3 linked regions of the Coturnix japonica genome follow. The protein of the gene in region 1 purifies or fractionates together with the protein of each later gene. This does not show direct contact. Links are inferred from orthologs where the notes say so. Each region holds a gene or a part of one and is shown on either strand. Other genes may lie near its edges. The genes, in order: zinc finger E-box-binding homeobox 1, SIRT1 and CTBP1.

Region 1 (9,497 bases):
GGGATTTTAATTTCAATTAGCTAAAAATACAGAAAATTACAGAGTTTAATTGTTTTTAAGCCATCATTTCTATTAACGTATTCTTTGAAATCAAACACTTGACTTTGAAAGTCAAGCATTTGCAAAAAGTTGGAAAATGTCAGAATGGAGATTGTTCAAAGGGTTTTAATTTGTCCCTAGTATGTATGCATAATGATAAGATCTTTAATTATGCGATCACATAAATTTTTCACAAGAGGAATGGTGCCCGGAGAATGAATCGGGGATGTTTATTAAAGGAAGCCCTTGTCTCCAGAGCCCTTGCCTTAATTGCTGCAAAGCACGGTAATTGAAGTAGAGGGCTGCAGCAGTCAGAAGCAGGCTCTCTGAGGCTCTGAAGGCACCACTGGGAAGCTGGGTTTCATTCTCTCTCTTTCATGGAGCAGTTCAGTGGTTTGGGAATGTCCCGTATTCTGGAGGTGATTTGTTCCCAGGTGCCACCCCAGCTACCTGGGCTCTGAGCACACTGCATCTGGGCTGAGCACCTCTGTGCTTTGGACAATGAATCGCTATAGGAACGTGAAACCTTCTGCTAAGTGAGACCCCAAAGGGCTTAGACTGACATGTTAACGCCAAAATTGCTGACAGAATCCTCTCAGTTTTAAGTAGTCAGTTTCCTGTCTGTAAAACGGAAACACCATCACCCAGCTACGGCAAAATTAATTAAAGGCTTTAAAGCATTTATGCTGAATGCCTCGGAGGAAAGCACCAAGTGTATAATGAGGACTCTAATTCTGGCATGCTTCCTGTAAAGGAGGCCTTGGGAACACCACTGGCTGGCGGGACTAAAAAGAACATGTAGGGTTGTTGCGATTTGAGACGAGGAGTCCGGATCCTACCAGTGCTGGGCTGCAGAGTCACAGTGTGCCCTCAGTGTGATTAGTGTTTCATCTTCCCTGCAAAGCACTTTAAACCTGATATAAGGAGTTCTACTTCATTTCCCAAACCAAACAGGGAAATCTAAAAATAATAATTCAAGAATTAGTTATCTGCGTAACTGAAATACCGTGTGTGTGAATTTTGATCTCAACTGTTATTTATCTTCTTGGCCTGTGGCAAAAGTCTGTATGTCAGGGTTTTATATGCACAGTCCTCTACGTGTGTCACTGCCAATAGGGCAAAAAGATTTTCCTGTGTCCTCCTTGTGTTTTTGGTCTGTTCTTGACCTTTTTAAAACTTACATTTAACAATTTTCAGGCAGAGAAATTCATAAATCTCTTCTGCTGCGGTGAGGTTATCTATGCATGTCTTACCTTTCACACTGTGTTACCTCAGCACCTATTTTACTTTGCAGAATCTGATGCAGAATATTAAGTGAGAATCAATTTATTGATAGAAATGGGTCAAATACTAGTATTTAGGCAATTTTATCTGCATTTGTTGCTTTAGAATAGCTTGGTACCATGAATTACGGCACATACAACATTTTTCAAATAACGCTACATGTATAAAATATGGAAACATGATTATTTTAGATTCAAAAGGCTCTTTAGTCATGCTTATGCATATTTGAGATGGGACATTTTTCTCCCAAATGAGAAGGAAATGAGATAGCAGCTTTCCCATTCATAATGTTACTCACTTTCCCTGCTTAAATGCATTTTTAAATGACTAGAGTATCTATGAAAGAAGAAAAAAAGAAAGAAGAATAACTTCAGAAGAGCTGGAGTTGAGTCTCCTATTTATCTACATTGATGAACTGGGTTCACATCAGACACTGAGTCTGTATGGTGTGCTGACAGTGCCTGTAGGCAGGGGTTGCAGAGTCCTATTCCCTTTTTATGGCAAAGAGATGGAAATGTTTCCTAAGTCACCACAGAGATTTTCACGTTCATGTCTGTACTGCTGAGCCTCCAGTGTGCTCTGGGTGTATCTGCAAGAGCACTTTAGCAGGAGCACTTTAGCACTTCTGAGTGCTGCCTCCTTGTTGTACCCATTTAGTGCTCCTACCAAGTATTTCATAGTGTGGACTATAATGTTCTTAAAGGAAATGTACAGCACTTCTGTCATCCAAATTGGAACGACATGGTGCAACCTCATGCTGGGCCATGTGTGCAGTGGTCTCCTGGTTCTGGGCCGCCTGCAGGTGCCTTCTTATGTGCCGCCATTGTGTCCAGGTTGCTCTCAAGATGCTGCCGTCCACAGAAGGAAAAAAGAATTAATGATATGACTCCATAGAGATGCCCTAAACATAGCATCTGGCTACAGTACCGAAAGCTTTGGAGTTTTCTGCAGAAAATTAAGAGTATATTGATCAGTGTTTGCTTTTTGTCTGCCCACAGTCACCAATTACAATAACGTGATAGAAGCAAACTCAGATTCAGATGACGAAGATAAATTGCATATCGTAGAAGAAGAAAGTATAACTGATGCAGCAGACTGTGATGCAAGTGTGCCAGAAGATGACCTGCCAACAGACCACACAGTGTTACCAGAAAACAGTGAAAGGGAAGGGAGCACAAACAGCTGCTGGGAAGATGAAGGTATGTTCATTTTCAGTATGATTCTCTGTAATGTTTCTAAGAAGACTTTAGATAGAGGTTTTTGGTTACTTTGTTACTGGAATTATTAAAAGCAATAACATGTAGATATTGTGTTACACTTTATTTTCTTAGTTAAGTATTTGAGGTACAGCCCTGTGTGTACCTCAATTCCAGCCACCATTCTTTAGCATCCACTTTGCTGAAACCTGTGACTTAATAATTGTGTGACCTCACATCTAAATGAACTGAAGCACTCATATGGCCACTAAATGTGGTCCAGCTTTTATGTAGCTGCCCATGCCAAGGTGTGCTCTGAAATGTGGAACTCAAAGTTAAACTATTAGGTAGATAATTTTCTTAGTTCAGCAAAATCTTTGTTCTCCTCCAGTGTTTTATACACCGTGAGTTGCAGTTACATAAAAATGGGCTGCATGGAGACTATTTCTTGACCCAGCCAAACACAGGTGTAGGAAGCCTGGGTGTGGATTGAGACTGGGCTCAGATATGGACTGAACATTTCTTGGGGCTGCAGCTGCAGGTAGTTACACCCAATATGTTACCTAAGGTTGCCTCTGGGGAGTCTCATATATCTAGATATGTAATTGTATCTTTTTGGACTTCCTATTTCAAATGTGCCATTTTAATTAAGAATTGTTGACTCAAATGAAGCATTTGAACCAAACTATTGTAATTGTGTATGGTATTCTCTGCCTTGGTCATTGGTTACTCAGCCAGGCAGATTGTCTTACAGGCTTACTAAAATTACTGTAAATTTCTTATGTAAAAATTACAAATTCTGAAGCCTCTTTTGTAGCAGCCAGGAGGATTTTTTTATCTGATAGTAAGGTTTTTTAAAATAGATTGTTTGAACTTTTGTTAAAGGCTGTGTGAGAAAAAATGAAGGCTAAATTATGTTTCATGGAGCTTTGATTTGCCATGGTAAAACTCTATTTACTTTTTTATGGCTTTCATAGAAAGAAAGGTGCAAGCTGAAAATCACATCATCAGTCTCGGTTGTACATTAGAAATCCTAAGAGCAGGGTATTGAATACGTGATCTTCATCTCAAAGGGAGCAGTGCTGGAGTAGTCTGTGCAGAGCTGACACTGTCACTGAGAGTGGCAGTTGTCTTTAGAAAACACCATGGCAGTTTTAGTAAGTGGATTTTCATTGCTGGATTAGTGCTGAAGGTTCCTACTTGTAGTTGGACTTGACAGAATGGGTATTTTACACATTTATTCAGTTTGCAAACACAAGAATAGGAACACACGTAACATCTCTTTATCAGATTAGTTTCCTTCCGTTTCCAGTCATTCTAACCGAACTTCTACAAGACCTTCAGAACAGGTGTTTTAAATATAAGGTGTGTATCTCCAGAGGTTTAACTGAAGCAGTCACACCGGTTTGAACAGATGAACCACGTGTATCCGGCACCGCTCGCTGGCGGGGCGCCAGCATTCATGTGTGCACTGATCCTATGATGTCAGCTCTTTTTGCTTCAGGTTAAACTAAAGCCTGTGCTACGAATAAGAAAGGAAATGTCAACCCCTATTGACTTGTTATGTTAATAAACGTTTGAGGGGAGGTTAAATGTTCACAGCATCAGCTTGATCAAGTTTTCTGCTTACAACCAAATTTTCTGTTTTTCTAGTGAGTTATCTTATCCATCTCTGGATCTTTGCATTGACATTGTGGTAGTGTCATGTGTGGTGCCTGTGACCTGGAAATGAGCAGCATTTAGCTCTGCAAGTCCCATGTATCTCTGAGCAGCAGTTCATGAGAAATGGTCAGATGCTGCACAGAGCAGAGCCAAGTAGTGCTGCCATGCTGAGGTGGCTGTGGCAGGGTCAGGCAATTCTCAGTGGCCTTAAAGAAGCCATTTTTTACCTGGTTGTGGTTTCTTAGTGGCTGATGAGATCTAATTTGATGGCTCTACCAGATGCTGTAGAGATGCATAATATGAGTATGGCTGAGTGTCCGTATTCCCACCCAGTGCAAGGAGCTTGCTCAGCCCCTCTGCTGCTTGCCAAGCAGTAGAATGGAACTTGCTGGAGACACTCTAATTTAAGCCGTATGGGTAATAATTTACAGATAGTAGCTCTGTTCCTCATAGCCTATTTCATAATGGGGAAAAATCACAAACCTTTTTAGGAAGAAAAATAGTGTAGTTGGTATCATAAATATTTTTAAGAAATGAAATTTTAGATTTGAATTTTCATTGCCTGCCATTGACTGCCATACATATTCTGAACAAAGCCTCTGGTATCAGGAGCCAAAAATACAATTACTTCACAGTTGGATATTGACTAATATTTTATGTATTGTAGTGAGGTTTTTTTCAGATGCTAATTCAAATCAATGAAAGATTTATGCCTTACAGTTTCCTTTTTTACCTTTTTTTTTGTGACTATCTGCAGATAGAGATTCCCCGCCTCTTCCCTTTTACGTCTGGTGGGTTTTGTCAAGGTAGACCCAACTAAGAGTCTTTTCCTTTAAGGAAGCCATTTGTATCTCAGAAATCAAATTTGCCCTAGGATTTCTCATCTCACACATAAAGGAGAAATTCACTTCTTCTGTATTTAAATGTGGCTCGTTCCGCAGTTGTGACTAGACATGCCCAAAATTTTCCCTGCACTGAATTAGAGTGAAGCAATGTAAACAAAATTACAACAGCTGGCATTTTGGATCCTGCCCGTCATATATTTTGGCATCTTAAGTCACCTTTGCATGTCTTTCTTTGCACTATAGCTCTGAAGCAAGTACCATCTCCAAAATAAAGCAATGACTGTTGACTGCTATGGCATTTCCATACAGTAACATAGTATAGTAGTGAATAATGGAGTGATAAAAATGGTTCTGTTTCACTATACACTCCAATGCCATTCTGTGTTTCTCTGAAGAAAGGGAGAGCAGTGTGCAGCTGTGCAGACAGGACCTGCAGATCATCAGCTGTTTCCAAATACTGCTAAATGAAAGAAACAGAGTAAATTTAATATTTCTATGATACTCTGTTTTCGGGAAATGATGTTCTAGTGTATCAGTTAGCTGCATTTAAATAGCTCATTCTGTGATTGCTGGAGAAACACACTGTCCTGCTCCTTACCTGTCTTTACCTGTCTTCAAATAATGCTTTAATGGCTAACATGTAGTATGGCTTCCTTTGCAAATTTAATTTCTTTCACTGTAAAATATCTCTGTGGTTCCACCAATTACGCTGGAGTAACGTGGAATCCATATTTTTGAAAGTATGTTGTCTTTTAATGCAATTAGAGAAGTGGACAAAAATGCTGTAGAAGTAGCTCCTCAAATACACGACGCTGCTGTGTGTATGCGGTTTTGTTGTGTTTTGTTGTTGTTTGAGGGTGTTGATTTGGGGCTTTTTTCTTATTTTTGGAGTATTTGTTGTTCCTTTTCTGAAATGTAATATTTCTGCAGGAAAAGAAAGAAAGGAAATCCTGGGGCCTGAAGCTCAGTCAGATGAAGTTGGATGTACAGGTATTTGTTTGTCTTGTTTATCTCTGTCTATTCTTATAGCTTGTCTGCCAAAGCTTCAGCAGTGAGAACAAAAGGGGTGTAACACTGATCTTGTTGGCAGAATACAACTACAGGCCAGCAGGTAGTGTTTTAAACTAACAAGGAATACACCAAGGTAAATGCAAGCTGCTACTTACCTCCTTTTCCACTCCTCTGCTTGTACTGATTATACAGAAAACGAAATGAAATGTGGATCTTTGGTATCAGAATCAAACAAGGACAGACTTTTACAAATGCAGGAAGCAAGAGGTTAAGCATCTCTCAAACTAAAAGGCCTAAATTGTGATACGTGCCGCACTGAAGAATTTTAGGGGAAGAAAACATAAGGTGCAAAAATGCATTGAGTTAAAGAGTGCATTTTTACAGAGTTTGTAAAGAATACTTTGTAAAGTGTGCTCTTAGTCTTTTTTTTTTTAATTGTCATTATGCCTGTTTCTGTATTAAAACGTTCCTATACCTTAAAGAGCTTAACCTATGCTAGTATTTGTAAGGAGCTGTGAAATCCTTGGACAGAGGTTGATTTGGAGATGAGAGTTACTGATCCCTTTTCCAATTTTTTTTTTTAAAGTTTTCATTTGACATCTTATATGGTGGTTTTTTGCTCTTAGTAAAAGAAGATGAATGTGATTCCGATGCAGAAAATGAACAGAACCATGACCCTAATGTTGAAGAGTTCCTTCAACAAGAAGATACAGCTGTTATTTACCCTGAAGCACCTGAGGAGGACCAGAGACAAGGCACACCAGAAGCTAGTGGTCAGGATGAGAATGGTAAATATGCCACCAGTTCAGTTCATACAAAATAAATTATGTTATGCACTTGACCCCAAAGCTCTGTTGTGCTTTGAAAGACAACAACACATGATACTTGATTTTGTGATGCAAGGCACACACTATGAGTCAGTTATATGGGTGCCTAAATGGTAGTTGGAAGTAAAATCAAGCTCTCGTAAATCCATTGGGTTATTATCCCAAAAAGACAAGGACAGAGAAAATTGAAACATTACTTATATAATAATATTCATGTTATTTGTGATGGAAGCCCATTGAGAAATACTGCCTTTCCAGTAGACTTCAAAAATGTTGTTTTATATTGGAATAAGAACATTTTTATTTTATTATGAGCTGTTTGTATTCTTAGTGAATTCTTCATGTAACATTTAATTGAAAACAACACCCTATATAAATGGTTTGGAGATGTTCTGATCCAGTTGTTTATTAAAAATGAACGTATTTGAACAAAAACTGTTATTGTGGCTGCATTAGTTCACTGGAGTCTAAGGGAGAGCAGTGAAAGGGTTGTGCTGACAAATTTGTCTCGCTCTCTCAGAATTCTTACATTATTAAATATTTTAGTAATAAAAAAGAAGATATTTAAGAAATAAACACATATAGAAGAATATAGGAATATATTTAAGAAGTAAACCGAGTACCTGCCTATATATTACATAAGTAGGACATGAATTTCCAATATTTTGTGATTTCCTTCACGTGTTTTGTAAATTTCAATTAAGTTATATTCTTAACAGTAGCATTTTAAAGTTTTTTACATTTGAATCTGTAGTTGCAGTGGCACAGCTTGTCAGGTTAGCTTTACAGACTTGCAGTGATTTCCATGTAATCATTAAAAATAAACTTCAGCCTTAATAATTGAAATTGTACCTAACCATGTAGGTTCAGATGGAAGTGCTCTGAAAGTCACAGTGCTGGACAGTGATGCTCAGTGCTTTAATAATTTGGAAGAGAAAATGCCAGAAAAGTGGTGATTTTTGGTAAAGGTAGATTCCTCCAAAGCTGAGGAGGGGCAAGTGAGGTGACAGAGCATCAGAGTATTTAGTACTGGGATCGTGAAACCTGCCATTTCGGCATTTCCTTCAATGGAAACAGAATCTAAGTTATGCTTGTGACATTTCCACTGACTTGTATTTGTGCTGAAATGCAGTATTCCTTATGGCATGTGAATTGAATTGTAGATGTAAAAAATGAACAGAAGGGAAGCATGGAAGCATGCTGTATCCACACACAAGCATGTGTTCATTTTAGTCTTGGAGAGACAGAGACTGAACTGGTTAGAACAGCACAAAAAACAGTGAAGTATGAGTGTTACCAGCTTGCTTCCATAAGGAGGGAAAAAGAAAAGTTGTTATTTTCACATAATAAAGCAAACTGGTCTGACTCTCCACTGTTGTGAAGGCAATAGCATGTTCAATGAAAATGGCAAGAAATTCACACAAATAGGGATTGCTACTGTATAGCGCATATATGCAATCTATGGCAGTAACTGCTGGCAGATGTCATGAAGATAGATAATTCAGAAGTACTTCAGAAACTAACGGTTAATTTCATCAGTGTTAATAATTGCTTATAGTTCAGCAACTTCAAATGACCATCTGTACCCCAGTTTGCACCTCATGATTCAGATCATAAACTAGATATCTGTGCAGATGTTCCACTTTCCTCTCTTGCTGTCATTCAGCACAGTGAATAGATGCTTTGTTGCAAAATTTGCTTCCCATTTCCCTTGAAGCTTGGTCACTGGACCTTACCAGACCTCATAAACAGATAATTTGATCCAATACTGTGAACCTTGCACTTCTATAAGCACTTTTTCCATTAATCTGTAAAGTAAGATGTTTTCTAAATCTCAGAAACAAATCTTTTCTAGCATAGAATAAGTTACTATATATGGGGGAGAACTAAATGCTGATAAGAAAAAATAGAGTTAAAGCTTCATAAATGATGACTTCTCAGGAATATTCCTGTCAAATTAATATTCAGCTTCAATCTGATTTCATTTTTTGCTGGTACAGGAGTAACTTCATAGAAGCCAATAGAATAAATCCCATAGGTTGTATTAGAATCACATTTATGGCATCACATCTGATATCTCTTCTTTCTGTCACTCATCTGCTTCTCCTGCATATAGTATGTCCCACATAGCTGTGCATAACTACGAAGAATATCAGCTGTGTTTCTGTTCTCCTTTCTCTTACAATTCTATGTTAAGAAACAAGAAGATCATTCTCTGCAGCCTAAAAATGTTGCTCATTCCTCATGATCTGGAAATAGGGTGACCATTAAGTGCTGCAGTACTAGATTTATTTTGTGAGCATGATTTTGGGGTTGCCAGTGGTACGGTTAACCAGGACTACAGAGCTTGCTGGGTCTAAAACTACATATTACAGTGGTCAGAGTACTTTCTCATCAGAGACATGTGCAGAGGCTCTGGTGCTGTGTGGGGACAGAGGTGTGGTTCTGGGGAGTGTCTGTGTGCTGACATCCTCCAGCACACGCTGGGACAGCTGCACCCTACCGCAGTCAGTAACATAATACCTAAAGAAAAAATACGAACAGTAATCGTTCCTTTTCTAAACCAGACGGAGCTTCCCAGCAGCTGCACGTTTTCTTACAGTCGTATGTATGAATGTAAACTGTGTCTGTCG
Region 2 (11,355 bases), on another chromosome or scaffold:
AGATACAAATAGCTGTAAAACAAAGCTTAATAATTAAAGGCATATGAACTTTTGCAGTTAAGATGAATACAGAGTGAAAGCTTTCCTTTAATAACATGGTTCTCATCGTGCTGAAGTAGTGTATGGTGAGCACCACGTGAGTGGCTCTGACTTTCTTTTTGTGTAACCCCTGTACTATAGAGCTGTCATTTCTCATTTGTTGGTGGAAGAACAGAATATCTGTGTCTCCTGGCAAGGGATGGTTTCCACTGCTTACCAGTGGGTGTTTCTCAGTTGGTGGCTCAGTCTGGAGTGGGTGAACTAATCATCAGGCTGCTGTCTTGTCTTTGAAAGCGCTGTTCAGTTTTGTGTTAGTCAGGTTTGAAGAAAAAAGCTTTAAGAACTTTCCCTAAGGCTCTAATGGCCTAAAACCAGATTGACTGGTTAGCAGTGACCTGCAGTGCTACACACTGGAGCCTCCAAGAAATCCACCTGTGTTTTCCTGAACTACATACACTCTTATGGATCGATAAAGTAGCACCAGCAGCCATAATTGCTATACATGGCCTGTCTTTTGTCTTGAGTGTACTATATGGGTCTTCTGCAAATGTGCATGATAGTGTGTTGCTGATGCTGGCAATGTGAGCTGGGGTAAAAGAAAATGCTGTCTGAGGCAGAAGGATTTGACTTCGGAGGCTTTTGCAGAGGCTGGAAGTGATTTTTCCTTCTCTCTTGAGCAGATAGCCCAGCCTTGCTGTTATAGAGCAGAGGTGGTGGGCTGTACTCCCAGCCTCCTACAGAAACGATTAGCCAGATGGTAGAGCTGAAACTCATCTGTTTGTGCCTTAATTCGGTATAGAGGCTGCCTAGGTGTGCTTCCTAACCTGTGCTTAGTGCTCTGGGGGTGCATGTACCGCGGGGCTTCAGCTGCCCCAGGTACGGGGAGTGGGCGAGGCCGCACCTGTGCCTGAGGGAGGAGCCGGGTCTGCCGCTGCCCGCGGAGCCTTGGAACGCCTTGCTGGCAGGTAGCTCGTGCCCCCGGCCTGCCCTGGATGCTTCCCTTTCTGGGGCCTGTATTTAAATGCAGCACAGCTGGGCGTGTTGGGGGCGGCTCTCAGGGCCGCTTCTCGTCTCTCGGCGCTGGGCTGTCCGTCCTGCTGGATCCCGCTGTGTTGGCGGTAAGTGGAGCGCTGCTGTCGGTCACTGGGGGCCTCTACCTCAGCCGCCCGCCAAGTGTGGGAGAGCCGCTTTCCTTCCGTCGCAGTTTGTGCTTGCTGCTCTGCTGCCTCCAGGCGTTAGGAGTGGTAGACACGGGTAAAACAACAGCGAGAGTTGTCTTTGTGTTGTTTCAGAGCTCTTCAGTTGTGGGTTAAGGGCAGTTTGTCGTTACTTAGTGCTGCGCGGCGCTGGGCGAGTGAAGGAACCGAGGGTGCGTTGTCACAGAGCGCTGCTCTGTGTCTGCTGAGAAACTGAGTCGTTGAAAGCTGTGTGGTGGTGTGGAGCCGAGAGAGCCGTGCTCAGGGTGTGCCCTGCGGAGCTGGCTGTCAGCACTCGGTTCTGTGCAGCGCTGGGAGCTGCTGCTGGGTTCCCCTGGTGTGAAAGCTGTCTCCATGTGTAGTGGTCCGGGTGCTTCGGGGAGAGCATCAAGGAACATGAGCTCTGTCTGGGAACCCCCCCATCCCATCAACCTGCATTGCTCCCTTTCCTCTTTCAGGGCACTTATAGCTCCTACAGTGTCCTGTGGCAGTAAGTTGCACAGTTTCAGTGTGTGCAGTGGTTTGCTTTATTTTATCTGCTTTCCCGTGTGTTCCCTCACTGCTCCTTGGGCCTTGAGTCTCAACAGTGAACATTGTGTATGCTGTTATACATCACTTTTCCTGGGAAGTCCTAGCAGCTCAAGTGTCACCTTAAAAACACTAACTAGAGAGTGACTGTTTTAAGGGTACTGTTCTGACTCTGATGTTACTGTAGCTAATTCAGAACCCCTTGCTATGTAGGAGCAAGCAGGACTGCTCAGTGAATACATCTAAATGCAGCACAGGGCTTGGAAGAAGATAAGTAGTTTTCTGAAGGACAAACTGCGTTGTGGTTCCAGATGTTGCTGTACCAGTGCAGCTTTACTGGGGCTTTGCTCCCACAGGGGGCAGGCATAAAAGGCAATTTACTGTAGAGTACCCAGGACCTCACTTAAAGCTTTGTAGGGCATCTTTAGTTAAGTTCTTAGGAGCTAACTAGAAATTAACGGAAACCAAAAATCAAATGATGATTTTAATAGACTTTAGAACAGAGTGTACGAGTATAAAACACTGGTTTTGTATTTCAAAAGTTGCAGGAAGATAGCCGGTCATTTTAAACAGTCTTCTACAAAACATATGCCAGTAGATTACATAAAAGACACTATATACAATATAAAAGAGCAGAAAACAATCCTCACTGTAAAAATAATTTAAAACAAAGTATTTCAATTTAAAATATCTCCTATAGCACAAACTAATACATTGTAACATGCAAGTGAAAACTAAACATATTGCATTCTTTAGTGTAGCCAAATAAGAGCTGTATTAAATTTGGACAATGAGACAACATGCCAACATTTTTAGATGAATACAGAAAGCTGTTCTTAAATATTTCTTAAGTGATGTATCTTATGTTCAAAGAACAGCTACTATACATCTCCAAAATGTAATAAATATTAAAGCAAAGTATATGAATAATCTACATCGTAGAGTTCATTCGGGCCAATGTTGAAAAAGTGGTTTATATAAAAAATGCTGATTCACTTACTACTGCACTGTGCAATTGTACAAAATAATTCTAAAGGCTTGGAAACAATCCGCACTTGAAAATTTGCAACATCCAGTTGTAAGGCAGCTTAGCACTTTAATACGCAATGTGGTAATTGGAGTAGCTGCTTTGATTCTAAGATGCACGTTGGAGCTAACAGGCGGAAAGTCGCGTTCCCCATCTGGGACATCACTGGAAGCAGCACGTCTCCAGGTGAGGCGATTAATCTGTATTTCACTCACACAGCAGTAGCAGCAGAGCCTGTTGCTCTCCGAGCAAGTTTCTTCCAATTCTGTTACTTCTGTAGGTATTACAGGAAGAGATTTGGTTTCCACGCCTTCCCACATGCTGGTAGGAACATTATTGTTTACTCAGCCAAGCCTCCACGTTACAGCCTTGGCAATTATCAAATACTATTGTTAATGCAAGCTGCGCTATATTTGAATTTTGTATACAACATGAGAAACTTCTACCATTGGGAATCCATTTTGTTTAAAATACTGGTGTTCCAGTATTATAATTGCTAAGGAGCCAATGTCAACACTGCTTCATGTCCACAGGAAGTGTTAAGCTCAGTAACTGAAGCATTTTCACAGCACTTCTTATCAGTCTAACGAAGATCAGGAGTTTTCAAGTGCTTACTGTCTTGTTTCCATTTTTAACTATCTACTCACATTTAAGTATGTCTCAAACATACAAACTAACTGTTAAAGCAAAAAAATTAGCTGCCACAGTAGGTCTTAGAAAATGCCAGTGTTTAATGATAGGCTATGCGAGAACGAAAGGTTTAGCAGAAGCGTCAGAAGTTTTAAATAAACCAAACTGTTACAAAGCAAGAATTGTGATAATACCATTCTTTGGTCTAAATTAGCTGTTCCCTTTATATTAGTTTAACATTCCAATGGCTTTTTCAAAACTGTTTAAAAATAATATAAGCTGAAATTTATTATGCAAAATAGGTATTATATACATGGATGCCTGATCGGACAGATGACTTAAAAGTGAACATAGTAATAATTGCTTAGATATTCCTAGTACCTTAAAAAAAAAAGTTAGTGTTGAGTGTGCAGTAAGAGAATTTTATTGAAAAAGGTAAAAAACTAAGCATGAAAATCTGTTTCAGTTGTTTATAAACACCACATCCTTATGGTTTCCTTGCTCTAAATCCAGACGTAAACATTCATCCTGACATGCCAAAGCTCCTAATGCTGGTGGAAAATTCCTGTAACCAGTGATCGCACTTTACAACTTGGTGCTTGTTGGATGATCGTTCCCTGCAGCTTCATTTGTGTAAGCTGATTCATCAGCTGCATCTTGCTCAACTCCATCTTCCCCAAATGCAGCATCCTCTTCCCTTTCTGGAGCATCCTCATCCTCTATGCCATTGTAAAACTCTTCGATCTCGCTCTCATCCTCCACATCTAAGCTCTGACTGCGACACGAGCCGCTTTCGCTACTGCTCCCACAGGAGCTGGAAGATATCATATCATCTTCAGAATCTGAGTATACCTCAGCTCCGTGGAAAATATAGCGATTGGGTGGTAAAAATAGATACTGAGTACCTGAAACAGAATTTAACAAGTCAGTATCACAGAACGGTTGAGATAGGAAGGGAGCTCTGGAGATCATCTGATCCAATGGCCCTACTCAAGCAGGGGCAACTAGAGTGGGCTGCCCAGCAGAAACAAAAAGCTGAAATTATTCAGACAAGATCTTGCAGACTTCTGCTTAAAAAATACCTGTGTAGGTGTATTTTCAAAAGTTAAGCTAATATGACAAATAAGATTACATTAGAAATTTGTACTTCAGTGTTAGAAACAGCATTTAATGCGTGCTTTTCTGAGAAGCTGTTTCCTCTCCTCCCTCCCTTTGATGTAAAAGCGGTGTTTAAACTAATGTTTGAGAGCTTTTTATTGGTACTTGTATTCACAGCTAGAATGCAACTGGTTGTACCATAGAATTGGTACCCAGCACACAGAGTGCTTGACAAAATTCAGACAGACTTTGCTTTAGGAAAACTGCAACTTAATCCTTGGTTCTCCATCCTCACTGACTTTGTAGCTCAATTACTTGTTACATCAGTTAACAGACTGCACAACGGAGGGCTTCTTTGGAAAGGCTGATGTTTCCTTTGGAATGTGCCTGGCTCCAGCTGTGTGATTTGCTTTTTGAATCTTGTGGTGACTTTGGTCCCTCACTGCTACAGAACAGAGTTGGGACATAGTGTTTAAAATGCCAAGATTGATACGGTTTTTCTGGAAACGCATTAGAAAATGTAAGACAGGTGTGTTTATTTTTGATACTTAGCTTCTGCCTCTTGGACTCTGATCTTTCTAGGGAGTTTGTAGTCACAGAATCACAGAATGGCCTGGGTTGAAAAGGACCACAAAGATCATCCAGTTCCAACTCCCTGCTGTGTGCAGGGTCTCCAGCCACCAGACCAGGCTGCCCAGAGCCACATCCAGCCTGGCCTTGAATGCCTCCAGGGATGGGGCATCCACAACCTCCTTGGGCAACCTGTTCCAGTGCACCACCACCCTCTGGGTGAAAAACATCCTCCCCTGTCTCAGTTTAAAACCATTCAGTAATCACTGATTATAAAATCAATTCTCAATTAGAGTTTTCCTGTTAGCTCCTCTGAAAGAAATAAACTCTGCATTGACAATAAAAAAAGTAGATACTTTTCTGAGCAGAAATAACCACAAAAAAAACCCACTGATTCCCTCAAGGGCAACTTATTTATTGCTTTAAAGGAAGTCTAGAATAAACACGTAAGTCAAAATCTGCAAGAGAATGAAGTAAGTTAACACTTACCATCCAGCCTTTTGCTAATCTGTTCTTTTGCAGCTCTGTTTGCCCAGCACTTCTTCACTATTTCATTTTTGTCTTTGCTTTCTCCATTGTTGGTTCCATTTTCCTTCATTGTTTCAGAGTTCATTAATTCACTAGAAGTATTTTCAGGGTTTTCAGAGGATGCCTGTGTGTCTTGAAGCTTTTCCTCCGTGCAGATCCCTTTAGTTTCAGAGGCAGGATCACAGTTTTCTACCTTACATTCAGCTGCGTGTTCTGAGGGTGCCACCGAAGTATCCGGTGGAGTCATTTGTTCTGGTGATCCAGAGTCTTCTGAAATGTTTAAGGGTGTAGGCGGCAGCTCAGCTGAGTGCATTTCCAGCTCTCTGTGCATTCGTGGAGGCTTTTCTGTTATTTCTGAAAGTTTTACTGAGTTGTAGCAAAGTTTTGTATATTCACTACCTAACCTTTGACATAATTCATTAATAATAACATCACAGTCTCCAAGAAGCTCCACGTCAAAGTGTAGATGAGGCAGAGGTTCCCTATTAATTAAGATCTGAGGCACTTCATGAGGGATGGAACCTAAAACACAGAGAAGACAGTTTGAGGACAGGCATTTTGGTTTTACTTTCTACCAAAGGTCTTCCAAAAAGACTTCATTTCTCAGAGATGTCTTCGAGGTCTGTCCGAAGACAAGCAAATCTTGAATGTAACAAAGCTGAGCGGCAGTGTGAGGTGCTGTGCCTGTGTAGTCTATCTAGATTTCCCCGTTTCTTGCAGTATAAGGTGTTCTTCTATTTCACCACTAAGAAACCCGTGCGCAAAAATGTTGACTACGGCAATGTTTGGTCACGTGTTATTACAAGATTATTACAGTACTGTAATTTCTTTGAAGGACTGCAGTGATCTTGTACATTCATTTGATGCACTTCAGTGCGCACAAAGAAGGTACTGTTGTTAACTGACTTTCTCTTAATTAGGTCAGAATATCTGCAGGTACAGTCTGTGATGTAAGGGTTTGCTTAACACATCTGGGGCTCCAAAACCCCACAATCTGATAGCCTGGTATTGACTGGTTCTTCAGATAACCAACTAATGAAATTCAGTTTGTGGATGGAGCAGTGATTTGTGGATCCTAACTTTCCCATCAGCCTGAACACAAGGCTCTACCTCTTGTATAAAGAAAAGAGGGTGTTACTACAGAAGTGCTGGATGTGGCTCTGTCCCCACTGAGCAGCAGATGGTTGGTGCAGGCCCTTCTCAGGCTTGAGTGTTAAAAGTGCAAGTTAAGTTGTGTGTTTAATAGGCAAATAATTAACCTGCAATCATATTTTCTCAGACCTCCTGAAGGACTTATTTTGTAGTAGCACGGATAGTTTTCCTTATCACCTTTAAGAAGTAAGGACCCAAGTGGCTGTACACTATGTACTGCCTACTATGTATTGTTTAGCACATTGACTTTAATTACTGCTTAAACACCTGATGTACCTGTTCCATTTTCTTTTTTCTTTTCTTTTTTTTTTTTTTTGACACTACATTTATCTTTTAAAAGACAATTACTCTCTAAATCTCACAATTCCAGAAGCATATTATGAACAGGGAGAGAAATACATTCGTCTCAGAACAAAGACATTTAACTTTTAGCGCAGTGGTTCTCTGGCTTATAGATTTATTACTTTGAGATCTCTCCTCTGGCTTAAGTGTAGAAAAAACACTCAGAACTGGAACTCTTAACTGAGAATTTTAATTTCATCCCATTTTTTGAAAGAAGAAATTTCCAATGTGAGTCACTTACTTGGAATCAATGCTACTGGTCTTACTTTCAGTGAAGACCCAATGACAATAAGGAGATCGACTTCATTTTTGTCGTACTTCATGGCACGATGGAACTGCTCAGGTAAATTCTCTCCGAAGAACACTATGTCAGGCTTCATGATAGCAAGTGGCTCATCAGGCGGACAGCGAGGACATCTAGGAACAACCTGCAATAGAGCAGCTTGTATCACTATTGAGGCTTTTAAGGTGCCACAGATTTTAGCAATGCACAGTGACTTATTCTGGTGTAAGACAGAAGCTTCAGTGATATTTCCTCATTTATTTTTTTCCTGTGAATGAATGCATTTCTTACTCTACTCTGCACACAGAACTACATTGGGAATGAAGGAGTCTTTTTATGTCAAAATGGAGAAACAAAGAAAGTCTACACCTCTGTTCTTAGCAAACAACTAAGCCAAAATCTACGTGTCATACTCAGCACTAATGTGTAATCACCTCCTAGTGGAAAGGAAGATAATTAATTGGTTTAATCAGAACAAAAGCTTTACTTTCACTATCAGTTTCCATTATACAATCTGTTATGCACCCCTTCCTAATCAAACAGCATGTTATAGAGCATTACCTCTCTGCTTTCTCTTCTCCAAAGAGAGAGGTTGCATGAAGTAATGTGGCGCTGTAGCAAGTGGCTAGCAAAAGCACACAGAACAAGAACAGGGGAGGAGCTTTTGTGTGGTCTCCCTTTTAAAATTTCCCAATTCTTCTAAGAGCAGAGCGATAGTAGATGCTGGTTATGCTCATGGAGAAGCAGAGTCCTTTTTCTCTTGAAACCACAGGGTTTTCTGACCTTTTTGACCTCTTTCAACTTAATACTTTTTCAAGGAGAAGAAAAGCAAACAGGTGAGCGATGCAAATATAGACAGACAGGGCTTTACTACTGAGCAAATTATTTTCTCAGCTGTAGTCTCTAAAGTAAAATACCCCAGAATAGACCTAAAGAGTTAAATACAGCTACAGTCCTACAAGCAAACTAGTGCTTTATAAAGACATAAAGAGATGGATGAAACCTGTTATCATAGGAAAATATTTTTTAAAAAAAGAAAAAAACAAACACACAACTGCTGGTTTTTTATGACTTTTGTGGGACCAAAGACAATGCTTTCCATCTGAGAAAGCATCACAAGTAAAAAGCTGCTTCTGTGGTGTGAAAGAACCTTTTCCAGAATTCAAGTCTTTGAATAATCTAATCTTTCTTTGAAGAAATCTCCCTAGTAGCAATGTGTAAGAAGCAATATAGCACAAGAACTAGAAAGTGGTACAGAGAAAATCTTCATCGTGTTACCCAAGGTAAGGACTAACAGCTCAACCATCTTAAATAATCCCCCAAAACAGAGTAGGGAAGAAAAAAAAACCCTTGACTTTTTTTCTTTGGATCTTTACATATTAGAAAGAAAGCAACAACACACCAACATCCGGAACTTCTCTGATGCTTTTTACCCTGCGACTTCTGCTGGAGGAAGCAATGTGTTTGCATTTTAAATCAGATTTGGAAAGTAAAATTGTTTGCTCTGTATTAGGAAGAAAAAAAGAGATCTCTAACTTCTGATTTAGTTTAAAAAGATGCTGATAGTAGTTGTTTCCATCATCTCCCACAGGAAGTCCGATAATGTTATTTATTGGATCTGTGAACAGCAACTGCTGTCCCTGCCCAAATCATGAGTTAATGTAAAGGGGCCCATAAATAGGTTTCAGCACTACTCTACTCACCAGCTCCTCCGCTAATCCTCAGAAAGGTCATCAGTAAGGGGGAGATCTATTCCAAGAGCTGAAATTGATACCGAGAAGTTAAGGCTCAATAGCTGGCCGCTCAGCTGCCTAGGATCCTCCCTCCCTCCAGGGGCAGCACAGCCCACAACCACACCACCTCTGCTGCTGAATTTGTCTAATGAAGGAAAAGTGGAATTCCTCATCAGCTGTGGATGCACCAAAAACAAAATCAGTAAAGATTGTGTTGGTTTGAGAACATCCACAAACAGGTGCATGTTTCTGTGGGCCTTTACATCCTAAATCTGAGATGCCTTTGCTGTTTCTTGAAACTGCTTGAAGTAGTCAAAGGCACAATTAGGCGTTTTTGAAAGTAATCTAAAACAGTTCAACTTAGGTGCGTTTTCTTCCTCTGGGATTTATAGATGCTGCCACATCTTGTGTAGCAGGATGGCTGTGTACAGCAACCTAGAAATGGAATTGTGCTGCAGGGACCAGTGTGCTACCTTGGGACTGGCAAAAAGAATAAAAAGCAGCGGTGAGGAACTGGTGGGTTTTTTTAAGTATCAATATCCAGTATGTTGAAAGGAAATCCTGCCAGGAAGATGCTAAATTGACTTATTTTGTTGTGAAGCACTTAAAACTGTCAAAGGAAGGACCAGAGCAAAGGAAAGCTAATCTTTCTTTTATGGAAAACAGGACCTGGGCTCACATATAACTGAACTTCTAAGCAGTGGAGGACAGCAGAGAATACAAACAGCGTCCTGTTGGGACTAACTCACCAAACTATTTCTAGAGAAAAGAGCTGTTGGAATTGGCAGTGCTTTGTTTCACAAGTACAAAACCAGTTCCTTTTGATAACTAAGGAATTAATTCATTCGAGAGAAGCAACAGAAAAACCAACTGCGTAGCACTGATTTGGGAAGCAGAGATAGTGATGGTAAATTGAACTATTTTTTTTTTTTTAAGGATACTCTTTTTCCGATGGTGCTATTTCTCATTATATACATTAAGATACACACACAACAATAACTGTGTTCAATTTCTGGAGTAACAGTAACTCAGTATAACAACTACAGTCTGTTCTGGAAAAATATACCTGTTTAACATATTGAAACTGTTGAGTCATGGCCTGAACCACTTGAGCATCTGGGGAAAGGACCCGGTCAGCCCCAGGAGCACAGGTGAAGGCAATTCAGCTGTGTGACTAGAATGGGTAGAGCCTGGCTGCACCTCTCTTACACCTCATTTAAGGGCTGACTGCCACTGAGGAAGATTTTCGTGGAGATCACTCCTTTGTGGAGTCTTCCTGTGAGCCTGGATCTTTAGATACAGGTGAGCATCCTTTTCTAACACCTTCTCATTATGTTTATCTAGGACTGCTGCTGCTGCCTTTACAGTACTGTAAGATTAGGACTGATGCATTGAATGTTTCTTCCTTGAGGAAAAAACCTCCTTGTTCAGAAGTACTGTTGTACAAGCTTCTCTTCCCATCTTTATTTTCCCACTACTGGCCATGAGCCGTTAGGGCACGAGTTCAGTTCAACGTATGAAAGTGCATTGATTGAAGTGTTGTTAGAAGGAATGCTTAAACTAACAATCAAAACAGAAAACTACACACCATACTTAGGAGCACTTGTTCAGAAGGGAAAGAAAAACAAAGCCCAAATCCCAACCAACTGGCTTTGAGATAAAGAAGCTGCAGACATCTCTAAGGTAAAATTCTCAAGAACAACATTAGTAGAGTAAAACGGACCTCACAGGTGTTCAGCATTACAAAGCCACAAAGCATCAGTCTTCTGATATTGACACTTCATAAAACTTGAAGTCAAACAGAATCCAGAGACAGCCTTTCATAAGACAGTTCAGACAGAATGCTTAAAATATGTTTTCTCATTTAAAACTGCAACTGTGGACTCGTATTTATTGAAAAACATGCAAATACCGAAGAAAAGTGCCTTTCCATTTATATAGACAATCTTTTTATCAGAGAACTGTCTCTGTCGAAAGACAGAGAAGAAAAGCAAAGAGGGTCTGACCAAGGCAAAGCTTATTCTACTCTGCTGGAGCAGAACTAACTCTGGGCTTGATCATGAAGTACTTTGCACCCAGATGTGAGGCATTCAGAACATAAAATAGTTTGGCAGTTCTTAAAAGTGCCAGTCAGACATCTTGCTTTGTCCTTGCTCAGACGCTGCTTTATGTTAGCATTTTCTCCATGCATCATCTACAATTTCAACATGTTGAATGCAGGTAAATGCT
Region 3 (12,036 bases), on another chromosome or scaffold:
TGTGCTTGTTTCTTCTCCAAGCTTTTTTTCAACCAATGCATTTCCTCTTCTCCTTTAAGCAAGCTGTCCCATGCCTCCGGCCATACTTACTGCCTGTACTGGCATTTCTTCAAGTTCTCCATCTTTTTTTGAGATAAAGGTATCTGAGATTTAGGCAGCAGCATAATAATGTTTGAGATTATCAGCTATTTCTGAGTAGTGTCCAACATTTCTTGGCATCTCCTTCAGTGACCTCCTCCCTCATGTGACAATTTCATTGATCTTGAAGCACTCTGTATGGTTTCTCTTAGATTGTACTGACATCTAATGGTAAGGCAAAGTGCCTTTGCCACACTTAGCGGCAAGATAAATTGTCTGACAGTCAAAAAATACTCAATTTTGTGTGACTAGATGGAATAGCTTCCATTTTTGCACAGGAAGTCTGATTTAATGCTTTCTCTTCTGGCAGTGAATCTTCTTGTTGCGTTCATTGGGCCATGCTTATTTTTTAAACGTAGCTTAGACCTTTGTAAGAGTAGTTTTCAGGACAGTGTAAATGCTGTGATGGTTTGATACTGCAGTAGTGCTCAGTGGAATTCATGGCATCTCCATAGCGGTACAGCAGCAGGGCCCGCTGTCCCACAGCATTCTGGACAGGATATCCAGTGATGATGCAGCAGTCTTAGAATTGCCACATTTGGAAGAAATGTGCGTGACCTCTTTTTCTTTCTTTTTCTTTCTATTTGAGGTTTCTCTGGGCTTTTTTTTCTTGGTTTTGAATTTGGTATTTATAATACCTAGTAGTGGTAGGTATTGCTGAATAATACTTCTGAGCTTTGGAAAGAAAAAGTGAGTTCAGTATTAATCTCAAAGTTCAGTTCCATGCGTAGGTGTAAATACTCCATGGACCTTCAGTGAGACCGAGATGTCGCCTAAAAAAATCAAATAAATAAAATAATCATTTAAAAAAGAAAAATAGCAACCAAAGAAAACAACAGAAAACTATTGTCAAATTGGCATTCTGCTAAGGTGTTTTTCTTCATGGTGAGCAGCCTAAGGTGCTGTGAGCTGCCTGTTCTGCCACAAAGTCTTAGCTATGATGGGTCTTTATTATCTTGGGAACCTGTTTATTCTCCAAAACAAACAGTTGCTACAAAATGTGTAGTTATTTGGGATGATCTAAATATTTATAGCGCGAGGAACACTTTCATTATTTACTTCTTAGTTCCAGGCTGTACGGAATGGCTATTTGAAGGCTTTTAGGTGTCATGGAAAATAGAGCTCTTATTGATTTGGATGAGAGAGAAAGAGAAGCAAAGCATTAGTCTGCTTGGGTTGTCTTGGAAACTTATTTAATTTATGAAGTCATAAGAAACCGATGGCAGTGGAATGTTGAAAATAAACTTCCCGCTTTTCTTGCAGTAGGTTTTTATACATTTGAAAGTTGATAGTAGAAAGGGAAAATAATTCAGTAACTTAATGTAGTTTCAGACCAAAGAACGTATGTTAGAACGGCTAAATTAAATGAAGATAAAGATTCCCAGGGGTAACATAGAACTTCATGGCTTTGTTCTCACTGTGTTAGTGATCTATCAGTCTGTTCTGTGAGTTTTGTTTCTGTTTTGGATTTCTTACACTTTATCACCATATTTGGTTTAGTCTACAAATCTTTTTGTGTGAAGGAAGCTGATAGTAAGGCAAAGGTACAGGTCAGTCTTTTGCCTTGCCTACCTGTATGGGTCAAAGTCCATGCTCAGAATAGCTTATACACAGTCTTTTTGTAGGTGGGCTCCTTACAGATTATGTGTGATGCAGGTCACTTTTTTTAGTAGGCTTCCACCACCTAGATTAATTAAGTACAAAGGCTATCTGTTTCACCTAAAAGTCTCCCATGAAAGTGAAGCCAAGGAAACTATCCTACATTGCAACCTCTGATGTTTGATGAGAGAGAGTTCCTTAGGAATTTGGAACCCATCTCTTCCCAAGAGTGGGACTTGATAGTCCTTACAGGTGTCTACCAGCTCAGGATATTCTGTGATCTCAGCCTACCAGTGTGCATGTAAGTAGCCTACTGGCTAGCTTTAAAAATACATTTCGTAGTTTTCTTGCTTCTCATCATCTTTCTTCAGAGACCTCCTTGAATGGCTTGTTTTCAGATCTTTTTACTCACAGCTTTATGTTTGTCCTTTACTTCATTACCAATGTTGCCTTAAGTCAACGTTGCTTTACTTACTTGACATTCCCATTTCAGCTTGTAGGATTTGCTCACACTGCTATAAAAATGTTGGAGATTCTCTTTTATTGTGGTATCTCAAAGAGTAAAGCTCATCCATTCTTGAGATAGAGCTAAATGCTCCAGGCTATAATTGCCAGAGGCATCTTCTCTTAAAAAATATCTTCAAAGACTAGGATCATCTGTTTAATTGAAAGAAAAGCTATAATATTCTTTTCAATGATATATATTTAATCTTAAAATTGTGCTGCACAAACAGGTTCTGTATGCTGATATTTCAGATGGCTTTGTAGCCACTACTCATCGTGCAGTTAGGCAGTACATATCAATATATATTCCGAGTTCATTTGGATTCTCATTGAGTTAAAATATTGAAGTGTGCTCTTAAATACTTCTTGTTCTAATTCCCTGGGCAATGGGCTTTTATTTTTAGTGAATTTTTCAAATACAGTTATTCATGTTGTGGTTTAGTAATTGCAGTTAACAAACGCTCCATAATTAGAATGTTTTTGTTTTGCTGGGGAATGTTTCCCATATCATCTTCTCTTTGGATTAGAACACGAAATATAATAAAATTGTGTGAGGGTTACATTTAACACTGTGTTAATATGTTAATTTAATTTTTGCTCAAACGTATTTTTTAAAACTTACAACATCTTGCCGTGGATAAAAACCAAACAAACAGGGCTTTAAACAAAGCTACTTGATTTATGCGGTACGCTTTGAAGCTACTGTAGATGGATAGAAAGCAGCTGGTGACACTTCCAGCGGTAGGGCAGTAGTTACAGATGGGCTGCTTTTTTACAGCTGTCAGCCAACTTCGTACATAGAATGACTACAGTGGAAAAATCTTGGGCTGAATGAATAAACAAAACTGAGCGCAAGGAGGACAGAAGGCATATATGTTTCTACAAGACAGGAAATTAAATTAGCTATAAAAATTTAAACCTAGATTAGCATTGGAAACATTCAGTGTATTCTGGTTTTTGTTTCTTGTCCTCTTTTATTTTCCTTCTTCTGTGTCTATTGGAGGTGGTAGGTTGTAAAACAAAGGTAACAGGCAAAGAAATGCTAGTTTGGGGTTGACACGAGTTTGGCACATTGACTGAAGGAAAGGCAGGTAGCTATGGCTAATTTTAAAAAGCATTTAACCGCATGTTAGATTTGGTGTAATGCTCATGTAATCTTGAAGCCATGTTCAATATTGAAGGATGTTGTATTTTGCAGGAATAATCAATGTGAGGCACTATAACAGGAAATTTACTATACAGCAGTGTTTTGTTTTATTTTTAAAGAGAAATTTGGCTTCAGCATTCTTCATCAATTTCTGCTGTCACGATGATTATGTTCAGCTGTAGTCAGACATTGTGCAGAACATTAGAACTCTTGAATCTGAGGATAAAGGAAAAGGTGGAGGGAGAGTGGGTGGGAGGATGAGGTTGAATAAAGCGATAAAAGCATGATGAATATTGCACATTGCCTTCATCTTCAAGTGAAAATAAACACGGAGAGGAGCTTTGTTTTAAAAATCCAAAAGCAGCAAGCAGAGTACGGCTGGAAGAAGATAGCTGTTTTAATGCAAATGTGCAGTGCTTCATATTCAAAATATTTTTGTCACTTCACCTCAAGAGTCTTTGTGAGGTGTTGACTAAATGTGCACTTGTTTGATTTGATTAAAAAAAAAAAAAAGGAAGAAATCAAGGAAGAAACAAGCAGATTTCTAGGTTTGGTCACTTGCAAAGCCATGTAATGTTCACCACTGATGTTGAAAGCTCCTGGGAAGGAATAAAAGGAAACAGGGAAATGAATTATTTGGCCTGTGTTTGTATGCACCATGCTTGTAATACGTGTTTGGTTCTCAGAGCCTATTAAGTTCTTACAGGGGACAAATGCACTGCTCTTATTATGCTTTTCCAAGGATCTCTATAGCTTTACCCATTCACTTGCTCCTGTGTGTTTTATTTACAGTGTACATTTTGGTGAGAATTTTGATGCGGGATGTTTCTCCTCTCCCCACCCCCTTCCTGCAGGCTTCGTGTTGTGTTACCCTTCTGCTGTCTTGCCCAGCTACGCAGGATCTGAAAAGTGCTTAGTTGTGTGTGCTGCCAAAGAGCTTGCCTAGTCATGCATGAAGCTGTTTTAAATGCCATTTGCTTGATATAGATGTTGGCAGTCTGTGCTCTCACTGGGATGCACATCTTCAGTTATATGTTTCTTGAATCGTGACCCTAAACTTCCCAGTATCAAACTCTAATTTATTCTAATATCATGGAGTTAAGGATGAGAGGAGCATTTCCTTGATTGCTTTGTTATGATGCCTTCCTATGGGGAAGCTTATTGTGAAATCCCAGGATACCAAGTATATTTAGGAACTGTGAATGTTTTCTTATTCTTTTAAGTATACATAGGTCACTCTTCTGGAAAGGGGTGGGAAAAAAACCCACTATATTTAAGAAATCTGTCTTTCTATTCACAGGTTTAAAAAACAAACAAGTTTATAAAAGGCAGAAAACGTTTCTGAGTTGTGGCTGACTTGAAGTCCATCATCAAACTGTGCGGAGACGTTCTCTGAGCTTCCCCTCTTATGTCTCTAATGGACAAACACAAAGTGAAGCGGCAACGGCTGGATCGCATATTTGAAGGTTGGATATTTCAATTTCTAAGGTTGCATTCATTTAGTGGATTATAAATATTTCTGAAGGTCAGAACTCTGCTCGTTTGGTCATTCAGTGTATTTTTTTAATTGAGATGTGTTTCCTGTTGAAATCCTGTTAACTGTGCAGAGGTGTTGGGTTTTGATGAATAAAAGCAAAGAGTGTGGGAACTCTGTACTGTTGTCCAGTTCCGTTTCCTTCCAGCTCAGCATTTTAAAACGTTCTGCCAAGATGTTGTGAAAGCTTGTGGGTTTGTATAAAATAACAACCACAAAAGGATAAGGAGACCACATAATCCTCTCCAGGGTCTTTCTCTACAGATATGCTTCATATAGATTGATTTAAGAGCCCATATCTGGTCTTAGTGAGGAAATGGGAAAGAAGTTAAAGAAAAAAATCCCAGAAGACCCCCAAACTTAATGAACGTTAATAAAAATACCAAGATCTTGTGAAAGGAGTGGAATCACTTGCATCAGTCAATTAATCTTGAATCACAGTTGTGTGAATTGTATGTTCCTGGTGTTCTTTGTTTTCTTTCAGATTTGATGTGAAAACAGGCTGAGGGATAAGTTGTATTTTGATGAATGCACAAGTGGTTGAGGCTTAATGATGTTTTTTTAATACTAGATGCTTGTTTCTTCTTAGAAGGGATCTGTTAACTTCTTTACCAAACCCGTTCTGGTATGACTGGAGTAAGTGTACAGACTGTTGGATGAGTAGTTTTTGCATCATGCCTAATACTGAAGCAGTAAACTGCATTTGAAGCAGCTGTGTTGGTCGTCAGCAGTCACTGGTAGCTTTGTTGTATCCTCCTCTTTTCCCCTTTCTTTGTTACAATATGAGTGTACCCATATAATGAACCAAAGTGGAAGAGGACCAATACTAAAAATACAATATTTTGTTTGAGAATTTTTTTATGTAGGTGAATTCCTCAGTCTAGGTCACAGCTGACTCACGAGTTGCATTGAAATAGCAGTTGGAAAGGAGGAATGAGGGGCACATGGACAGTTCCTTATGACAAAGCCAGAGAAAGGCATTTCATCAGAGTACCAGAGGGTACAATTTCGTAAGTGATGTAATCTCAACAAAAAGTAGCTTAGTTCACCCTGAATACTTGATCCAAATTGGTCTCATGTCACTAGTTGACTGATTGGCCAAGGTGTCAGCTTTATCTGCTCACCAAGAACTGGGGAGCTGGCTGTTGAGGGTGGGAAATTGGGAAGGATGTCCCTTCCTCTGGACAACTCTGTTGTAGGATCAGATGGAAGTGACCTATGGGTGAGATGCCACAGTGCTTTGTGCTGTTCATCCTTTGGTCCTAGGTCCTCATTCTAGAGTCTCTGTGTCTGACCTTACCAGAAAACTTAAAGGTATATATTTATTTTATTTTTGCCTATTTTAGTGTGAGCTGAATTAGCAAAGCATGAGGAGACGGAAATGAGAGAGGACAGAGAAACCTGTCCCTTCTGAGGGCACCCACAGCTGAACTGAACTCCACCATTCTCTTAGGGTCACTATATTTGTCAGTTGGATGACGTAAGAGAAATTAGTTGTGATGATGTGGCAAAGAATGCAGTCGGGGTGGAGGTGGCAGACCGTTAGGTTCTGTGACTGTATAAAACAGCAGCGGCTTCCCTCAGGCTGTGTGTTCACATGTTGTGACACTGTTTAATCACAGCCATTTGTGTGGCTTGTTTTCCCAGCCTTACACAATTCACTGCATCCTAAAATCTATCTGTGTGGCCATGCGCTGCTGGGAATTGATGCAGTTGAAAAATACAGCAGGAATGAAGTTTTTTAGCCACTTTGACTTCCTAATCCCCTTTACCATATGCTGGATAAATGCTGTGTTGTGGGAGTGGGAAGATGAGGAAGAGGGTAAACAAGAGAAGAGGGGAAGAAAAAATGGATATGGAAAAATGCTTAAGGTTTTCTGGGTACAGGAATTCAGTTTGACTGTGTAAAACGTCAGATCTATATTCTGCTCCTGATGTTCTTAGAGGTTTGTAAACATCTCTGGCTGATGTTGTTAGATCCGTGCCAGTGTGTAATGTAGGATAAAAATGAGGGGGCAGGTTTGTTTTTAGAAAAGCTGTTCTCTCTATGTGGTCCTGTTCAGGTTTAAGAATCAAGGAGTTCTCGGCACGTATTTCCCATAACACAGCCTAAGTATTTTATATTTTAGGAGGATGCATAATGTTTCTTTTAAAGCTCAGGAAACTTAATGAGCTGTACAGCTATTAAAGGTGGCTTATCTTCTCTGTCAGCTTTTTTTTTGTTCAACAGTCCCCGTAAAGCTTTCTTTTCTCTCAACCTTTTGGCTCAGAAAAAAAGAATTATTTTTAAGATGGATTTTATTGCAAGCTCACTAAAAGCAGGTAGCGGTGGTTTGCTAATTACTGCTGCTGTTTATATGTATATTTTTAAATTGTTTAACATAAAAACTTGTGATGAGCAGGCGTTTGTGCGTTATTGCATCTATAAAGAGATGCCAGCGGTTTTGTGACGCACCACATTTCATTACTGTTTGTCTCACTGCTCAAAGGAGGTGATAGCGAGTTGAAATTCAGTTGCTAAAAATTGAATGGTGTGGGACTGATTCCCCAAATGAGATGTTGGTGCAGTGAACATGTGCACAGGGCTGCACACAGCTTGTTCTGTGCAGTTAATGGATCGCCACAAGCGCTCCTGGAAGTTACAGGGCTGTGCACTTTAAGTGCTCTGTGAGTTGAACTGTTTTCCAATGGCTTTTAGCAATTTGCACACTCGCTTACAGTAACGAATCATGCAAATTAAGCAACCAATTGAACAGGCAGCATCGGATTTACTGTTCTCCCAAGTTAATGACGGCATGGGAGCGCTACTACTAAATTTCACTTAATACTCAGCGGAGAAAAAATCTGACTCTATTACTTGGGGAGCAATTAGTTCTCTTTTAATGTAGTTGTGTAAGTAATTTTTGTCTCTGAGGTACCTATGATTCCCTTCAGTGGTTTCTTAAATATGAAATTGAATATTTGCCTTTCATCCTGAAGCTATTTTCAGGGTTATTTTTTTTTCCCCTGCTTATTCGAATGGTGTGCCATGTTCTTGCATGTGTTGTCTCCTTTACACAGTTCTATAAACCAGCTTTGACTTAAGTAAAGGCAGCTGGACTGTCCCTTGAAGAAGCCAGATATGAAACTGTGGTTTTCAGCTTCCACTGGTAGCCATGAAGTCTGCCTTGGCATAACAGCATGGTCCTGGGCAGACTGAGATGCTAATGTTAGACTTGTTCACAGTCGATAAAGTAGCTTTTAGGCTTCTTCTCTTGTAGAAAAATAGTAACGAGGCACGTGAAAGATGTTAGTTATTAGTTACTGATTATATATAGTTATTAGTTACTGATTATATTGTTCTTTGTCCCCCTCTCCAGTGAAGCTGATGATTGCAAAGCATAATTATAGCAGTATACATTTGGCAGAACAGTTGGAAGTGTCACAGTGCAAAAATAAAATGTGTTCATTTTCTGAGTAATCTGAAAAAATCTAAATGTTTTTGGCATTTGGAAATGTTGTTATCTCTAATTAAGGTATCATTGCACTTCACATTGTAACAGATCTGTAAACAGTGCTGCATGTTTGCTTATATTCTAGAAATCTTTAATTAAGTGTGTGCATGTTTTACTGACCATTGCTTGGAAGTTACCTTGGGGATGTGTGACCTGGTGGTTTGCTAGGAGCTAACAGATGAGGTAGGAAGGCAATGGAAGGCGGCTACAGCATGAGGACAGTTCTGCTACATCTGGATTCTCTGTGAACAAATTGTGAGATTGATTTTTCTGGTTTGATAGCTTGAAACAAAGAAAAAATGATTTGCAGGCACCTGGTACACAGAGAAAATACCAACGGTGCATGTCCAACAGGTCAGTGAAGACCCTGCATCACCCCTGACAGACGTGACGTGGTTTTCTAGTTCAGCTTTTGGAAGTAAAAAAGACATCCTTGCACACCCAAAGCTTCTCAGCAATCCTTACAATCCCTTTTCCTCTTTCTGAAGCATTGGTATACAGCTTAATGTCATTCTTTCTGCACAGGTTGCCTCTTCCTTTAAGTGCCCAGAATAAAGCTTGGAATGTGTTATAGTGGTTTTAACAGCGTGGCTTTATTACTTAAGGAAAGAGGAAGAGTTGAACGGGGTTCCTGAATTGAAAAAGAAAATGCATATTAATGGCACGTGTTTCAGAAAGTTCAGATAAAATCTCTCATCTTTTGCTTTTACGAAGGACAGCCTTTATTCAGGGAAGTCTGATTACTGGTGAGTAACTGAACATTGTGCTCTTTAAAGGACAGAAATGTACATGATAAAGGAGTAGTTTCTTTTCAAGGATACAGACAAGGTTTTCTGTTTCCATCAGAAAACAGGTGTTCTTAAAGCTCCTCTTCCTGTTTGTGGTGCTGTATAATATGAGATCTAATAGGATGCATCTTCATAGTTGATGTGGTGTGTTGGTGACTCCAGGTGTGAGCAGAACCAGGTTTTCGTTCTACATTTATGAGCAGGTCTTGAAATACAGAGTGGCCAAAAGTTTGAAAGCTGCATTCTGGATCCAGGTCTTTCTTGTGCTTGTAGCAGAGAGCCCAACTTCTTACCACGTGAAAGCAGCAGGTTGACAATGTATGTACTCCATAATATAATGACTGTACTCCATGACCACTGCTGGAGCCCATCTGGTGTACCTGAGCTGTGACTTTGCTCATTGCAGCTGTGAAACTGGGCAGTTTTCAGGGTATTAATGAGAGCAGCAGCCTGCCTGGCCATTGCTTGGCTTCTCCTGTTAGGGAAAGGAATTTTGCTGAAGATGGTTTGTACTGCATATCTTAATCTGCAAAGAGAAGTGGAATAAATGTTCTCAGGTGTTGAGTACTCTTCAGCACTTCCTTATGTAAGTGGATATTGCAGGTGTTATTTTCTTTGGAAAACTAGCTATAAATCTTAACTGGTGTTTAGATTTGAAGATGTTCGTAGCTGACTTCCTGCAGGTATTAGAGAACAAAGGGACATCATACAACTGCGGACAATCGTATGTCACACAGCACTTTATATGCTTTTCTTTAGGCATTGTGTTCATAGTGCTGGGCATGCTGAACATCCCGTGTGTTGCTTGAAAGAACAACGATGGGCTGCTTTGCTGCTTGTCTTTTTTCACAGACTTGAGAAGAAAGCTCACTGAAGGATTAGGGCAGCAGAGGGAGCTAAAAGATTCCTAATATTTTATTGTTTGTTGTTTCCTCAGTGAAAGCTGCTCTGTCACGAAGTACCAATTAACCTTCACCAAAAATGTGTTTTTCAAGCCCAAAGTGCCTTTAGCAAATAAATAAGGACTCTGAACTGGAGAGAATTCCCTATTTCCTAAGCAATCCGGTAGAAATTAAATGAGGAATCAGGTAGTATCAGCCAGCAAAACCTCTCTGTGGGACCAGCCATGAAATCTCTCAGCTGTAACTGATGAAGGTGTGTAAGCGAGCAGAGTTGTCTATGAATAACACAAGCAGAATATTCCGTGAATAACCCATTACTTTCAGATTTCAGTGTCTTGAAGTAAAAATGTATTTGTTCTTGTTCTTCACTAAAGGGTCTTCATAGCAATTCATCTGTTTTCATGTGTTCTGCGTGCAAGAACTTTGAGAATACTTCTGTGAGCTTGAAATAGAGAGGTAAAGTGTTTAACCTGTTACATGAGCGTTGTCTTCAAGGAGCAGCATGGAGTTCTATGGACTAAGAGAAATCAATGAACTGAAAAAGTTGCTATCATGAATAGTCATATAAGCCATATAAGAAGCTTGTCTGTGACTGTTTGTATATCTGTGTATTTGGGGTTTGTTCACCCCAATGCAAACCCATCCTTTCTGTTGGGACAACTAGAGTTGAACTGCTTATGGGCAAGTTCACTTTCCCTTTTATACTTTATTCTTAATCCTCAATATCTCCTTGGGAAGGTGTTGGAGTTCTTTTGGATTGCTGCTGCAACTTGTCTTTGAAATTCAGTCTTCATTATGTGCTACCAAAACAGTTTTTGAATTTGCATGCACTTAAGCTTTTGCAATACTACAGAGGTGTTACTGGTAACAGTGCAAATTGTATGGAAAGAAATTAGCTTAAAAGCCCATTCTGCCCTAAATGATGCTGAACAGTAGCTGCTAATGAAAAGCATTATCTTAACAAGAAAATTCGGGTGGAGGGGAGGGAGAGAGGGGAATTTTAGAGGAAGCTTTTTAATTTTACTGAAACAATAATGTCACTGATCTTAAATTTTGATGCTTTTTAAAGAAAAGCCGTGTTTTTGCTGTGCCCAGCATTACATATTTCACCTGTAGAGTTATATTTTCATTGGTGTATTGAAAAAAAAGTACTACTTGTTATGGCAAAGTACAGTTATGATGCAAACAGAGCACTTCTTAACAGTTGTGATCAAGTCATAGAATCACCAAATGGTTTGGGTTGGAAGGGACCTTTAAGACCATCTAATGCCAACCCCCTGCTATAGGAAGGGACACCTTCCACTAGACTTGGTTGCTCACAGCCTCATCCAGCCTGGCCTTGAGTGCCTCCATGGAGAGGGCATCCAAAGCCTCTGTGCAACCTGTTCCAGTGTCTCACCACCTTCACAGTAAAGCATTTCTTCCTAATATCGAGTCTAAACCTACCCTCTTCCAATTTAAAACCATCTCCCCTTGTCCTGTTGCTTCCTGCCCTTATAAAAAGTCTCTCCCCAGCTTTCCTTTAGGCCCCCTTCTGTCAAAATAGCATTACTTAAACATTTAAGTATATTTAAACACATAAACAACAAAACTGATACTGTTCAAGTATGGTAAACACAACTCAGCTTGAAACTCACAGCTGGGCTTACAGGGTTGTAATTGTTATATTTTTAATATCATATGTGTTTGAATTAGAACCTACTGTTTAGCCACACCTAGTTGTCTAAACCTAAATACTCCTCAGAGAATTAAAAAAGACCTTTAGGACTAGATATTTAGCTTGTATGCAGTGCACATGAGTGCCTGGTAGAACTTTCCAAAGCTTTAGAAATCAAAGTACTTGATGGTAATATGTACTTACTGCAGCCCGGGGTCAGGGAAGATGCTTTAAAAGCCTTAGGTTTATACACAGCTTTACACCCTGCTTTGG

What was found.
Region 2: the proteins of zinc finger E-box-binding homeobox 1 (region 1) and SIRT1 purify together in Homo sapiens (affinity purification with western blotting; 4 studies listed by BioGRID, with this or other methods). This does not show direct contact. The link is inferred for Coturnix japonica from reciprocal best matches to the Homo sapiens genes ZEB1 and SIRT1.
Region 3: the proteins of zinc finger E-box-binding homeobox 1 (region 1) and CTBP1 purify together in Homo sapiens (affinity purification with mass spectrometry; 9 studies listed by BioGRID and IntAct, counting the BioPlex papers as one, with this or other methods). This does not show direct contact. The link is inferred for Coturnix japonica from reciprocal best matches to the Homo sapiens genes ZEB1 and CTBP1.

The regions. Positions count from the first base shown.
Region 1 is NC_029517.1:13,025,424-13,034,920, reverse strand, and holds part of zinc finger E-box-binding homeobox 1, read left to right. Parts: intron 1-2,321; coding exon 2,322-2,522; intron 2,523-5,956; coding exon 5,957-6,016; intron 6,017-6,663; coding exon 6,664-6,825; intron 6,826-9,497. UniProt on the Homo sapiens protein: Acts as a transcriptional repressor. Inhibits interleukin-2 (IL-2) gene expression. Enhances or represses the promoter activity of the ATP1A1 gene depending on the quantity of cDNA and on the cell type.
Region 2 is NC_029521.1:8,460,905-8,472,259, reverse strand, and holds the end of SIRT1 (NAD-dependent protein deacetylase sirtuin-1), read right to left. Parts: intron 7,539-11,355; coding exon 7,352-7,538; intron 6,139-7,351; coding exon 5,578-6,138; intron 4,326-5,577; coding exon 4,006-4,325; 3' UTR 2,235-4,005; downstream 1-2,234. UniProt on the Homo sapiens protein: NAD-dependent protein deacetylase that links transcriptional regulation directly to intracellular energetics and participates in the coordination of several separated cellular functions such as cell cycle, response to DNA damage, metabolism, apoptosis and autophagy.
Region 3 is NC_029519.1:76,688,076-76,700,111, forward strand, and holds the start of CTBP1 (C-terminal-binding protein 1), read left to right. Parts: upstream 1-4,688; 5' UTR 4,689-4,796; coding exon 4,797-4,854; intron 4,855-12,036. UniProt on the Homo sapiens protein: Corepressor targeting diverse transcription regulators such as GLIS2 or BCL6. Has dehydrogenase activity. Involved in controlling the equilibrium between tubular and stacked structures in the Golgi complex.